2 linked regions of the Caenorhabditis elegans genome follow. The protein of the gene in region 2 interacts with the protein of the main gene of each other region in a pairwise test. Each region holds a gene or a part of one and is shown on either strand. Other genes may lie near its edges. The genes, in order: F26E4.2 and vpr-1.

Evidence for each region.
Region 1: the proteins of vpr-1 (region 2) and F26E4.2 interact in a two-hybrid assay, tested with the Caenorhabditis elegans proteins (2 studies listed by BioGRID).

What each region holds. Positions count from the first base shown.
Region 1 is NC_003279.8:9,756,253-9,763,886, forward strand, and holds F26E4.2 (Tnp_DDE_dom domain-containing protein), read right to left. Parts: upstream 4,536-7,634; 5' UTR 4,534-4,535; coding exon 4,435-4,533; intron 3,221-4,434; coding exon 3,176-3,220; intron 3,129-3,175; coding exon 2,999-3,128; intron 1,777-2,998; coding exon 1,637-1,776; 3' UTR 1,602-1,636; downstream 1-1,601. Other genes in the region: Serine/threonine-protein phosphatase 2A regulatory subunit sur-6, read left to right, coding at 1-5, 52-226, 596-724; putative peptidase C1-like protein F26E4.3, read right to left, coding at 6,320-6,399, 6,666-6,805, 6,853-7,107, 7,317-7,400, 7,449-7,583, 7,630-7,634.
Region 2 is NC_003279.8:5,866,586-5,872,895, forward strand, and holds vpr-1 (Major sperm protein), read right to left. Parts: upstream 3,370-6,310; 5' UTR 3,363-3,369; coding exon 3,188-3,362; intron 3,030-3,187; coding exon 2,744-3,029; intron 2,653-2,743; coding exon 2,505-2,652; intron 2,419-2,504; coding exon 2,290-2,418; 3' UTR 1,681-2,289; downstream 1-1,680. Other genes in the region: F33D11.10 (RNA helicase), read right to left, coding at 178-369, 489-1,160, 1,209-1,544; cdc-7 (non-specific serine/threonine protein kinase), read left to right, coding at 5,600-5,708, 5,896-6,265.

The sequences.
Region 1 (7,634 bases), 3.9 Mb from region 2:
GACAAGTAATTAATTGCAGTACTTTTTCATATTATAATTTTCTTTTTGCAGACATATTCTCACGGGTTCGTATCATAATCTGTTCCGTTCATATGCTCGTGGCAATAACCAAGATGCGAAAACTTGGGAAGCTCGGCCTCAAGAACCACATTCACAGCTCCGATCTCGATTTGTTGTACCATCAGCGAAACGGAAGAGAAACAATCTGTCATCAAGCGGTGAAACGGTAAGATTTCAATTAAATTTAAAAAAACGTCTTCATGTTTAAATGGGTCTCTGCGCGCAAAAAAAGTTTATGGTAGTTTTTATTTTTATTTTATGCGACTGCTTCTCGTTTATTTTTTATTTTTCAATATAATTACTTCGTATTTAGCGACATTTTTTCGCTAAAAATACACTTTAAACGACGTAATTTTATTGAAAATGTAAAATAAACGAGGAATCAGCCGCATAAAATAAAAGCACAACCGTAAATTTTCTTGATCGCCAAGACTCATCTGAATACATCCGTGCACCTTTAAGAATGCATGTTAAACTCTCGTGAAAATATGATAAACATATCTTACTTCAAAATCAACAAAAACCCAATTTACAGACCGAAGAGGATCTTTCATCTGATCAACTTCAATTTGATCGTAAAATATTGCACACAGCATGGCATCCAAAGGATAACATCATTGCTCTTGCTGCCACTAACAATCTCTACATCTTCTCAGATGTTTAAATTATTGTTTTCGTAAACTTGTTGGATTTCGTCCTCCCCCAATCATCATTTTCCCTTTTTCTCAATTTATCCTCAAATATCACATTCATATAACTCTAAATTTTTTTTTCATATTTTCCCCATATTTTTGTGAGTCAATTCTTTCTCAAATCCCGTCCCTTCTTTCCCGTTTTCGTAGTCCTCATGTCGACTTATAGACATTTAATCGCGTATTCAATGTTACTCGCTTTCTTTCTTTCAAATCCTTCGTCATCGTAAATTTTTGAAGTAAAACAGGAATAAGCTCTTAGTTGGTTTCTATTTTTCAACTGTTAAAGTTGTCTTTTGCTTCCAATTTGAGATAGAGTTGTACTTTATTATTCTTATAGCTTCTTTTTCTTTACTCTCTCCCTCTCTCTATCCTCTCATATCATTCTTGAATTACGTGGCCCGTTTTCTATACTTTTCCCTCACTCTTCAACTCCAGTGTTCTCTTTCTTGTCTCTTCCACCACCACTTTTAAAAAGATAACTGTAGATCCTTAACCCCGAATCATTCGGGTCGTGTCTCTCCCACTTTTAGGATGATTTCTCCTGTTAGATTCACAATGTGTTTCACGACTTAATCCTCTTGTTTGAAAGCGTGTGAAGGTATTATTCTCACCTTGTTAGCTCCATTCTGTAATTTTGAAAACTATAAAAATCGCCCAAAAAATTTTTGAAATTTTTCCGACTTTAGTTATTTTCTCTCCACTTTCTCTGTTCGTTTGTCTGTCACAAAATTACAAACTTTCAAATCAAGAATCTTGACATAAATTTTTGTATTACTTCCCTCATATTTCTTCATCATTAAATCCCCGTGGGTGTGTCTCATCATTAAGTCTTCCTTTTCCCATAAAATTGTAAGCAATATTTATTTTCCAATCATAAAAACTCATTTATTGAATGGAAATAGTCGACAAATGTACAAAAACAATAATAATAGTATCACATTTGTGGCGATGAGGATTTCAGTTCCATGGCGACGATATGTTTGACGTACTAGTACTTGTGCATCATATGTGACTTTGGAGACTGAAATAAATTAGAAAAATATATTATTGGTGTCTCGACACGACAAATTTATAAATGCGAAAATGTGCGCGCCTTTAAAGATTACTGTAATTTCAAACTATTGCTGCTGCTGAATTTTCACCGAATTGCATAGTTAGAAAAATGGAATATAACAATAAAAGCATAATTTTGAACAAATAATTAGAAAAAATTTAAAAAAAAACTCGATGAAAATTCCGAAGCAATCATAGTTTGAAATTACAGTACTCTTTAAAGGCGCACAACATTTCGCATTTAACTAAAATTTGTCGTGTCGAGGCCGCGTACCGTATTTTTGACGCGGATGTATAAGAGAATAATTAATTGAAAAAAATCGATTATATTACGTTGGATTTTGTTTTGAAAAAAGTACAAAAGTTATAACTTTAAAAAATAGATAAATCGAATCGATGAATTATTTATACTTTGATTCCTTTTGACTTGATAAATATCATTTCCATAGACAAAAAAAGGAGAAAACTATATTTAATCCTTAATCCAAATTCTGACATTTTTATTTTTAAATCGAAACTCTCTTTCGGACAATTGATATTATTAGTTAACATTTACATCTACAAAAACAAGATAATCCTCTAAGGTGTTGTCAAGACAGAAAACATACGGCTGATTTGTTTAGTACACATGGCGAATTTTCTTGAGGGTAAGGGAAAATACACAAAAAATAATATGTGCATTTCCTGTGCAGTTTCAATTTTTTAAAGTTTTTTATATTTCAATTGTTCGAAAATATTTTTAAGGGTGGAGTTCGGAAATTGGGTAGTTTTAATGTACTCGGAATCGATATGCTAAAATATCGCAAAAGAAAACTGATAAAAACAGTGAAAGATGTACATTGCCAACTTCAAAAAATTCGCTAATTCCCTGTTTGAATTTCTTCCAAAATATGAATTCATGTACACTTTTGGATCAATCAACGACTTCTGACTCCACAAACTCTACCTGACATATTGGAATATTCCGAGAATTTTAAGACTAAATCCCTATTTTCCAAACTCCATCTTGAAACAAAAATAAATAGATTCTCGACAATTTACTAAAGAATATTGCAAAAAAAAATTCAGATAATTTTCAGAAACCCCATTGGTATAATAGTATGATAACTAAAAATCCTTCTAGAGCAGTTGTCGTCTACTGAATATTAATTAATCGATTGAAATTATTCAAAAACTTGAATTGAACTCACGATATCTCTTTGTCTTCTGAAGACGTGTACCAGTTGCTTCTTCACGCCATTCATTTGCAACTCCTCTTGTAATTGCAGTTGTCCAAAGAGCATTTGATTCATGTTGTTTTTCGACAACACCATCCAACATCTGATAAATTATATTTCAGACTAATAGCAAAAATATCAAAAACTCACTCGCCGCCCATCACCACTGTATGTCACTTGTGGTTTGCGCTTCTTCTGGAAATGATTTTGCATATACTTTTGTTTTTTTTTCTAGTTTTCATTCAACAAATTTTCCACTTTTTTGAGCAAGAGTAGGCGGACTGAGCCTCGGTGGGTTTGAATTTTCTCCTTGCTAAAATTCAAATTCCCAGAATGGAAGTAGTCGCTAAATTGTACAGTAAATTTCCAAAAGCATAGGATTAAACACAAACAACAAAAACGATAATTTCGAATGATTGTTTGATACAAATTTGTAAGATTAATGACGCCAGAAGAGGAACACAAAATACTAATTTGAACACTAATTTGATACCAGAAACTACAAAAATCGGCGACGTAAACTCATTGTCTAAATTATTTCAGATTTGCAAGCTTATCATTGAATTTAAAAAAGAATTGCCACAGTTCTTGGAATCTTGTAATATCTTACAATTTGCAAATATCAGAGCACAAGACAGACTCTTGAAAAAGACTTTTTTGGAAGAACGTTTGAAAACATGAATTAGGGTATTAAAATAGACGTAAAATGAGTTGATCTTTGAGATGTGAGACGTAACTTTAGAAGATTAATGCCTGATAAACAAAGCGATCGATTTATTAAAGAGGAAGTATGCGATTCCATTTCTTTCATATCAAAAAATATTATTTGAAAACTTCCAAATAAAAAAGTGAAAATGCAATGATTTTTTATAGACTGGATATATCGGATATATCGGATATATTGGAAATGAATACAATTATGATTTACCATATTATAGCCTTGCAAGAAATTTTTGAACTTTGACAGCTCAGATGTCGGTTGTCTTTTTTTAAATGTCAACTGACAAAATGTTTTTCATCACTTCTTCTATAGTTTTGTAATTAATAATATTTTAATATCTAAAAATGAAACGAGATATAATTTGTCTTGTAAGTTAAGTCGATAGTTGTATGTAAATGGAAGAATAATTAGTAATTCTCAAGAAGTTTTTGGCAAAATATTTGAAAATATAAAAACATTCGCATTTAAGTAAATAGTGGAACTTAAAATTTATTTTGATGAATTTCCTTTTTTGAACTACATAATTTTTTTGGTCTATGTACATGAGACACATGTTCAGAAATTTACAGACAAAACAGGAACAAGTGGTTAAATCTAATGAAATTGACCAAAGCAAAGGATGTTCAGCGTACTTATTTTATTCTCAACGAATTCTATAACTTGACAAAATTATTTCAGAATATCTTACCACATCGAAAATTTGTTCATCACCATCTTCCTGTTGTTTTCCTTGTGCAAATTCATCAAGTTGTGATGGATCAATTGGAGAATTGAAGATATTGATCATCTGTATTAAAACATAAATTAACAATTAGATTCTCGAAAATTTTAGAAAATAATAACAATAAAGCAGGAATTGAAGAGGAAAATGAACAAAATGGAGGCGGTACTTGAAAAAAGAGAAAAAGGGTCGGAAGAATCGATCTTTCTTCATTTCCCTAGGCGTCTCTTCATTCCTCAAGTTATCACTAAACACCGCCAAAACGGTGTCATATCAAATTAACATTTTTTGGGGATAATTTGTCATCGACGGAAAACTGGGGGGGGGGGTATTGGGTGGAGATGTAAGAGAGATGGGGTTTCGAGTAGAATGAGTCAGAATTGAAAAAAATAGTTAATTGATGGAAAGACCATTTGATCTACATGTTGGCGGTGACCATGTGATAGATCAACTCGCAATTGAATTGGTTTTTTTGTTTTGATGTAGTGCAATTTCGTAATTTTTGAGACGCTTAATTAAAGGCGCACAGATTAATTAAGATGGGTCTCATCGCGAAAGTTTATGAGAAAACTTATCTGTCCTTTTATTCTAAACTCTGTGAAAAATTTCTGACTTATTTCAATGCAACACCAATTAAACAAATATACTTTTTTGTTTATTTTTCAGAGGATATAGATAAGCTGGCGCAGTTTAAATGGTTCGTTAAAAGTTAAATTACAGGCTTCCGGTAAATCTGGCTACTTATATATCTGCTATCCTGAAATCTAACACTAATATAGTAATATTCAACTTTGCATAACACCTCTAGTTGTGTAACTTTGAAAGCCAAAGAAAGTTTTAAAATATAAATAAAAGCATCTACAATGTAGACAAGATGATATTCTTTTTGTTTATGTAATGTTAACTGAACAATTTGAGTGATTAAGGTCACATACTATTGGAAACATGGGCAAACACACGTATATACGCAACTACAATCGAAATTTGTTTAGCCAAAACATGCAACTGATTCTGATTGAAAAACAAACATATGGCAGAACTTTGCATGACTATGGGCTTAAGGAACTAATATATTATCAGTTATTATCAGTTGCGTAAAACTATTTTTGATGAAAAAATAAAGTACCAGGTTCTCCATTTTTTCGCAAAGGTCTTCCTATTCTCTGATTTTTCACAACTAGAAAAAAAACAGGACTTGGCAAACAAAGAGCAGTACAATACTGTTTAAAGACTCATGCTCTTTTTTTGCAAAACAACTTTTCGATCGCATGCTGGCACCGTATTTTTCACATCTGTAAATGCACACAAATGTCTATCTGCCTTCTAGGCGTCCTAAAAGTTTTTTTTCTTTATTGAGAAAACTTTCAAAAGTCTACATTTTTTCCATGAAAAAGTTCCCTGAAACCACAAAAACACTCAAGTTTTTACCTCGAGTATCCCAACATACTTACCATAACTATATTTTTAATTAATTTTATCAGAAAAACGTTTTATAATTCTAAAAAAAGTGAATAGAATACCACTCGAATGATTCACCGACTTTTTTCATTACTTTTTTTCGCTTTCTCTCGGGCACGAAGGGTGTGGTTTCTAGTGAGAATAGGTGTCAATGATTTTGGGTTTTCCATCCCCATACAGTTGTGATAAAATTATAATTGTTATTGAAAAATTATAGTATTTTGTGTCAAAAGCGATATTTATTAGGCGAATAGTCAAGGTAACTCTGCGTGGAAATTATTGGCGTAGAAAAAAAAAAGAGATTTGAAAACCCTGCGATGGCAGTGAGATTATTATAGAAAGATGGACGGGGAAGAAGGTGAAACATAAACAAATCTAAAGTAATCTCCAGTTTTTATTTGAACATCTTCCTGAATCGTCGAAGTTTTCTCATCTTGAATCGCCTTCGTCGTTTTGATCCTTTGCCCCAGGCTCCTGTAATTTGATATTTGTTCGAAGATAAATTCCTTTACAAAATGTAACAATTCATTTGAGCAAATATTCATACGTTACCAGGATTGAAGAAAATTTCCAAAATTTTGCAAAAAGTTATAAGTTTCTAATAGTCGTCAGAAAATTACCAAAATTGTACCGGAGGTTACCAAAGCTTGAGAGAAAATTTTTCAGAAGATTTCCAAAATTTGATAGAAAGTTGCCAAAGTTCGTAGAGCCTCGTGAACTTCAATAGTTTCTAAACTCACCAATAACAAAGCTTTCAATTTCACAATGATTCTCTCCTCTTAAAACTTTGAAATATCCATCTTCTCCCCACTGAGTTCCCCATGAATTGGCACACAACCAGTATTTGATTGGTTTTCCTGTTGAGTGATCAACTCCCCATCTGCAATTTGTTTTGGTCTTTTACTCTAATTGAAAGTTAGTTCTCACCCCAAAACTCGAACCGAATGATATCCCTCTGCAACGGAAGATGCTCCTTTTTGAGCAGCAAGATCAGAATGTTGATAAACTCCTCCAGCATACATAAAGAAATCCTCGTGAACTACAAAAGTTGCTTGTACTGGGCCATTTGTCATAAGTTCAGTTTGAATATCTTCCTCACGACTTGACACTTTGTACGGCGGAGTCATTTTAAAAGCGGTACTATCTTGAGATCCACTTGGACACCGAAGTCCTTGTCGATTTCTGAAAATATGACGGATTTTAGATTTCTCAACATGCAGATAAAATTAAAAAGTAATTTATATATGTTTCAAAGATATTATTTTTAAATTTGATGTTTTCTTTCGTAAAACAATTGACACGGGAAAACGTTCAAATGCTTCATAATTGATTGTTTTTTTTTCAAGTTATAGAATACAATTTAAGATTTTCAATGTTTCAAAAAGTCTTACGTATAATCTCTCTTTGGAATCAGGCAATGCCCAGGTTCTCGGCTTTGTCCAGACACATATGGATAACAATGATCTCCGACGACTCTACAAAAACCATTTCTTATTGAAACCATTCCATTTTCTCAAATTTACCCTAATTTCCTAATGTACCACCATGCTCTATCCAAATATCCACCTTCACATCCTTTTTGTCTGTGTTGATTGCATGATAGAAGTTGTTGAGATGAAAGTGTTGAGTTGATTCTACCTTCCGATATGATGGCTAGTCTGAAAAAAAAATAAAGATTTGGCCCCAAAAATTAGACGATAGTACCTATC
Region 2 (6,310 bases):
ACTGTTCAGATTTTTAAAAATCTCCGTTGGATAGTATTTGGGTCTTAGTATCATGAAGGATTCAAAGGAGATCTTTGTAGGATTAAAATAAAAGAAATAATTGATAAGGATTTTCAAAACAAAGAAAACAAAAACAAAATAAATTAAAACATGAGGTGAGCGAAAATATATCTTTCTTCAAATGATATCCGCAATATTCATGGGCATTTCGTCGATTTGTGTCGAATAGTATTGCTCAATGTCTCGCAGAATTCTGACATCATCTTGCTTCACAAAGTTGATGGCGACTCCCTTGCGTCCGAAACGTCCAGAACGACCAATACGATGAATGTATAATTCACGATTGTTTGGAAGATCATAGTTGATAACCTGAAAAAAGTTTTTACTGAATTGTCTATATTTCATGACAACTTTTTTTTGCTGGTTTTTTGCAAAACTAATCATTTTAATTTATTACAAATCGAGAAGAAACTAAAAAAAAATCTTACCAACGAGACTTGTGGAACATCTAATCCTCTCGCCCAAACATCAGTTGAAATGAGCACTCTCGTTGTTCCTGCTCTGAACTCTTTCATAACTTCATCACGATCCTTCTGTTCCATATCTCCGTGCATTGATGACACTGTGAAGTTGGCTTCCTTCATTTTATCCGTCAACCAATCAACCTTTCTACGGGTATTACAGAATAGTACAGCCTGTGTGATGGTAAGAGTATCATAAAGATCAATAAGAGTGTCGAACTTCCATTCTTCTCTGTCAACTGCAACGAAGAATTGCTTGATTCCTTCAAGTGTCAGTTCATCACGTTTCACAAGAATTCTGATAGGATCTGTCATGAATTTACTGGTCATCTCTAGAATTTCATGAGGCAGTGTGGCTGACAGAAGTACGACTTGTGCTCCAGGTGGAAGATATCGGTAGATATCGTACAACTGCTCCTTGAAACCTTTATTCAGCATTTCATCGGCTTCGTCAAGAACCAGAAGCTTGATCGCTCGGGTACGAAGATTACGACGGCGAATCATATCAAATACTCGTCCTGGAGTACCAGAAACCACGTGTTGACCGTAATCCAATTTGCGAATGTCTTCTCCGAGATTTGTTCCTCCGATACAGGCATGACATTGAACATTCATATAGTCTCCGAGAGCAAGAACTACCTGCAAAATGTGTTTTTTATTGCAACTCTGTATTTATTATATCCATACTTTTTGAATCTGGACAGCCAATTCTCTGGTTGGAGAAAGAATAAGTGCTTGTGTCTCTCGAACTTGTGTATCCAATGATTGAAGAACGGAAATTGAAAAAGTCGCAGTCTTTCCGGTTCCAGATTGAGCTTGAGCAATGACGTCACGTGCTTTAAGAATTGCTGGAACTGCTCTTTGTTGAATAGCCGATGGTTTTTCGAATCCATAGGCATAAATTCCACGAAGAAGGTCTTCTCGCAAACCCATTTTGTCAAATGTTGGAATAACATTTACTTCTTCAGAAGATTCGAATTCCACTGTTGCCATATCATCTTTTTCTGCTTTTTTACCAGCCATTTTGGAAAATCTGAAAAAAGATTAATTTTAAACATCACTCGAGTGACATTTTATTGTCGAGTCGCGTAAATTTCCAGGTAAATACTCCGAGATAATACGGCGAAAAAATTCAAAAATAAAAATAGTTATTGGAAACCATAAACATCAAATTTTATTGTACCATATACAAATCATGTGACTTAAATTGGTTGTTTCAAAGAGCATGGGGCTTTCTTAAAATCCATGGAGTCCTATATCAATCAATGGTTGTACACATAAAATAAATGAGAAAAGGTTGGGGGAACGGGGAACCATAGAATGGAAAATAAATAAATAAAATTCTTGATAATGGCTACCGGGTATGATGATAGGCAGTCACTAGACGGATCTATGATGGTCTAGAAGACGCCGGGAAAAACGGAAAACGAATAAACAAAGGAAAGAAGTGAAAGTAGTTTGAGAAAAAGTTTGAAATTTTTGCGCGCTGCGTTCACTAAAGAGGCAAGTATTCAAAATTTCAAAAAACCGAAAAGTTAAATATGTCAATTTACATTGCAGAAAATAACATTTTGATTTTTGAAATATTCAGAATTTCGCCCTTGGCAGAGAAAAAGTTAGAAAATTTAGGATTTGAAGGTTAAATTTGATGAAAATCCGAATGGAGCAATGCTTGTGTGTTTTAATGTTTGTGGCAGCAAAAAAGCACGTGAATGATAGTACCACTAGTTACTTAAAAGTGAAAATGAAGGAAGAATTGATTCAGAATTTAGAAAAGACGGCCAACAATAAGCCCGATGAGCAAAGCGGCAACCGCAATAAGGAAAATTTGCAATGTTGGGTATGCACCGTCGACAAGAGCTCCATCAGAATGCGATTGTTGAAGCTTGCGGTTCTTCTGAAAATATTTTTTGTAGAAAATTGAACACATATTTTTTTTTCCAAAGTGTAATTAATTTTTTCAAATTTCTTTTCTGATATTACCTTGAGCATGACTTCGATTTCTTGTTCCAATCCATGTACTTTCTTTTGCAATTCTTCTTTCTCGTCAACTGTCGATTTCAACGATTTGCGAAGGGAGTTAACGGTTCCATCATGCGATGGTGTTCCAGAGTACGAACTTCCGAGCTCTCTGCAAATATTAGTTTTTTATTGAATGAAGTTTATGAAGGAAACAATAATTGTTAACCTTCTTTTAACCTCCATTATAAGTAAAAACTCACTGTGCCTGTCCAGAAGAAGCAAAACTATCCTCGTTCCTAACCGCAAAGGTTTTTGTATCATCTCCAGACGCTGGATCTCTCTTGTCAACGAAGGTGACCATAAGCTTGCTGTAGGTCAGCTCCGCTGGATCGATTATTTTCCAGACCGATTCCAAATCTGGCAGATCTTCCGAAGGCGCCACACACGATTGAACCATAAACTTATGTCGTCCTGCATCAGATGGAATTCCTTCCAGAGGTTGAAGCATTACTGTGATTTGTTTCGAGTCACCAGATTTCAGGAGGCCTAAAAAATCAAAATCAGAAGGTCAAAGTAAACTTCAGTTTTAAAAATCAACCAGTCTAACAGATAAGGTCTAAATACAAATCATATTTTTCTTTTTGCGTTTAATTTCACTTTTTCCATATCAAATTGATTTCAATGCAAATAAATCCATCACTCACCAGAATTTGGACGAACACAATATTGCTTTGGAGCCGTTGTTTTCACTTTGAAGCACACTGGATTGGTTGATGTGTTCTTGAGAGTCATGTGTGATGTGACAACATCACTGAATGGGCCAGTGAACACGAGTTCACGATTTGGAGTCACTTGCAGAAGACTGTGCTTTTCAGACATTTTTTTGCTGAAAAAAAAAGTTAGTTCATATAAAATAATTATGTTAAAAAATAAAGATTGATAGGAAGTTTGGATCAAGGCGAAAGAATTAAAAATTGTTTTTTTTCTATTGGTATTTACGTACATCACAAAACCGAACACTAAACGAATATTTTTTCGATTTGCAATTTCGAAAAAGCTATAAAATGAAAAAGTCGCAGTGTATGTTCTAGCGTTATCAGTTTCTCTTGAGTTTTGGCCAGTGCTTAGTGCCTAGAGGCAAGCGTATTTGCTCTTGGCAAAACGAAAAACGAAAAAAAAATCGAAATCGTGTAGAAGTTATACAAATGCTTGTCTATCTTTCTAAATACAGTCTTCAATAATCTTGAATTTGAAATTTGAAAAAAATATGGACGAGTGTATTCAACACAGGTCATAAACAAAATTTAAACAGAAAGGCATCAAAAACGTTGTTCAGCCAGTAATTGAACGTTTGTCAATTGATAATCGGGGAGAGAAAAGTAGAGATGCAACTGATGGATGACCCGATACATGAAAAACACAACAAAAAAATAATATTATTTCCTATATTTTAACAACGAATAAGTCCAAAACTGCACAGTATTGAACAAAGGTTGAACCAATTCGAGAAAATAACAAATTATATTGAAAAATTATTCTGAAACGCTGTCAGATGACATGAATTCGGGTGAGACGTGGAGAGCGCACACGTTTTTCAAAAAATGTTGTCCTGAGAGATGCGTAAGAGATAATAGACGCAGAAGGAAAAGTGTATCTACGTCTCTTCCCTCTCGTTGACTTATAATTCGAGTGTGTGAGTGTACGTGTGAGCGATGTGTGTGTGTGCGTTTGGTAGGGGAGGACGAGTGTGAGCGAAAATGGCTGTCCTGGAGAAGGAGAAACACGTTGTTGGAGACGAAAGAGGCACCGAAAAAACACAAGCATCGTGAAGAAAAAACGATGGGATAAGAGAAGAAGATGGAATAAATTAGGATGAGATGTTTGCTGGTAGAATGTGCAAAATGCACTCAGAGAAGATTAAGCTAAGGCAGTTCTATGCAATAAAATCTTAATTTTTGTATTCCCCAGGAGCCTATAAATTAACCTCCAAGTCAAAACAACAGACAATTGAACCTTTTTTTGAAAAACGAGAAGAGCTGCAGTTTAGAAATGTTCGATATTTAAAATTTCACTCTGATTGAAATCATTATTTGAGCTCATTTATGAAAAAGATTGAGACGGAAATTGAAAAAGTTGAGTTAATAGCCTTATGCGTCAGCGGAAGATTTGATCCATATGAAGAATATTAACAAGTCGCAGTATGTATATCTGATGAAGCTAGAAACAGAAGACTTTTAGAATGAAAAAGACGTCCTCTTCTGCGTAAACAAAGTGCAAAGGACGGCGAATTTGAATGGAAGAGAGAGAGTGCAGACGCAATTAGAGCACCTCGGCTTGGTACTGCTTTAGACTTAGTTTCTCTGTTTTCCTGCCGTCCGGATGTGAGAACTCTCCATGACAACACAGATATTTCCCGTATCACACACTCATCGGAAACATAAGAGGGGGAGAAGGACAACTGGCTCCAACTATCAATCAATCGGGGTTATTTACACAATGATTTTTGTTCTTTTAATGTGCTAATAGAAGAAATATACACAAACACATGGAAGTAATATTGGGGAATTTGCACTTTTCTAGAAAATTAAAACTTGAAGTTTCAGGCTGAGCAAAAATAGCTCAAATAACTCGAAAAAAACTCAGTGAATAACTATTTTTATAACCAGGTTATAGACTAGGCGAAAAGGTACAGAGAGAAGAAAAGTCCGAATTTGTGAAAAATCCCTATTATTCACCAAAAAACAATCTATTTCACTTTTTAGGAGCTTCGACATGTATTGTACACGAATAGCAACATATTTTTGCAAAATACGTCTCAATAAATATTTTTCAGCTAGATATTACAGCATTTTCAAACGGAAAACCAAAAAAATCAAAAGAAAAAGCTAAATTTAAAAATATGTTGCATGTGGCAATGCGCGTAAGCTTCGCCGTAACGTACGCAAACACCGCGCCTGTTTTTGGCGCAAAATTTGAAACACATTTTTTGCATTTCTCAATTTCAACGTTTATTTTTTCTCTGAATCACTTCTCGCTATTTAGTGTCTTTTTTTAAAGAAGGAAATCAACATTATTCCGTTTTGAACAGTAAAACCTTTATTTCAGACTGAAATTTCATGTCCATAAAATCGTCACGGCTGAAAATTTGGGAAGAGAACTGCCCGGTGCTTAGCGATGCAAAATTCCAGAGAAAGTATCAATTGCAAGAGAATATTATAGGCGAGGGTACGTTTCCAGCTGAAAATTTTCAGCTGTGTGCAATATGAAATTATTATAAGCTACGAAATAGATTGAAGTTAAAGCAAAAACGCTAGAAAACAAACTTCTAATCAGAATTTTCAAGCAGGTGAAAGAAGATTGCGTATTTTTGAAATAATGAAATATTGATCCTTTAATCATTGCTTATTTTTAGGTTCTTTCGGAACAGTAATCAGTGCAACATGCAGAACAACTCAAGAGAAACGAGCAATAAAAGCAATTCGAAGAATTGAAAAAATGAGCATGTTATCAATTGAATTGGAATTACTATCAGAACTCGGAGGACACTTCAACATTGTCAAACTTTTCGAATTCTTCCATTTCAATGGTTCAGTTGCAATTGTTCTCGAACATTTTCCACATTGTACAGCCACAGAACTCTTATTTCATTCAAAACGAGATCTTTCATTTGCTCTCTCTTATTTTCGAAATTTGCTTTATGCTGTCGCATATCTTCATCACAATGGATATGTGCATCGAGATATCAAATTGTCAAATTTTCTCTACTCACCCCAAACTCAAAGGTTTCAGATTAATAGTTAAAGCTCCTCAGCAATTATTTTTTCCAG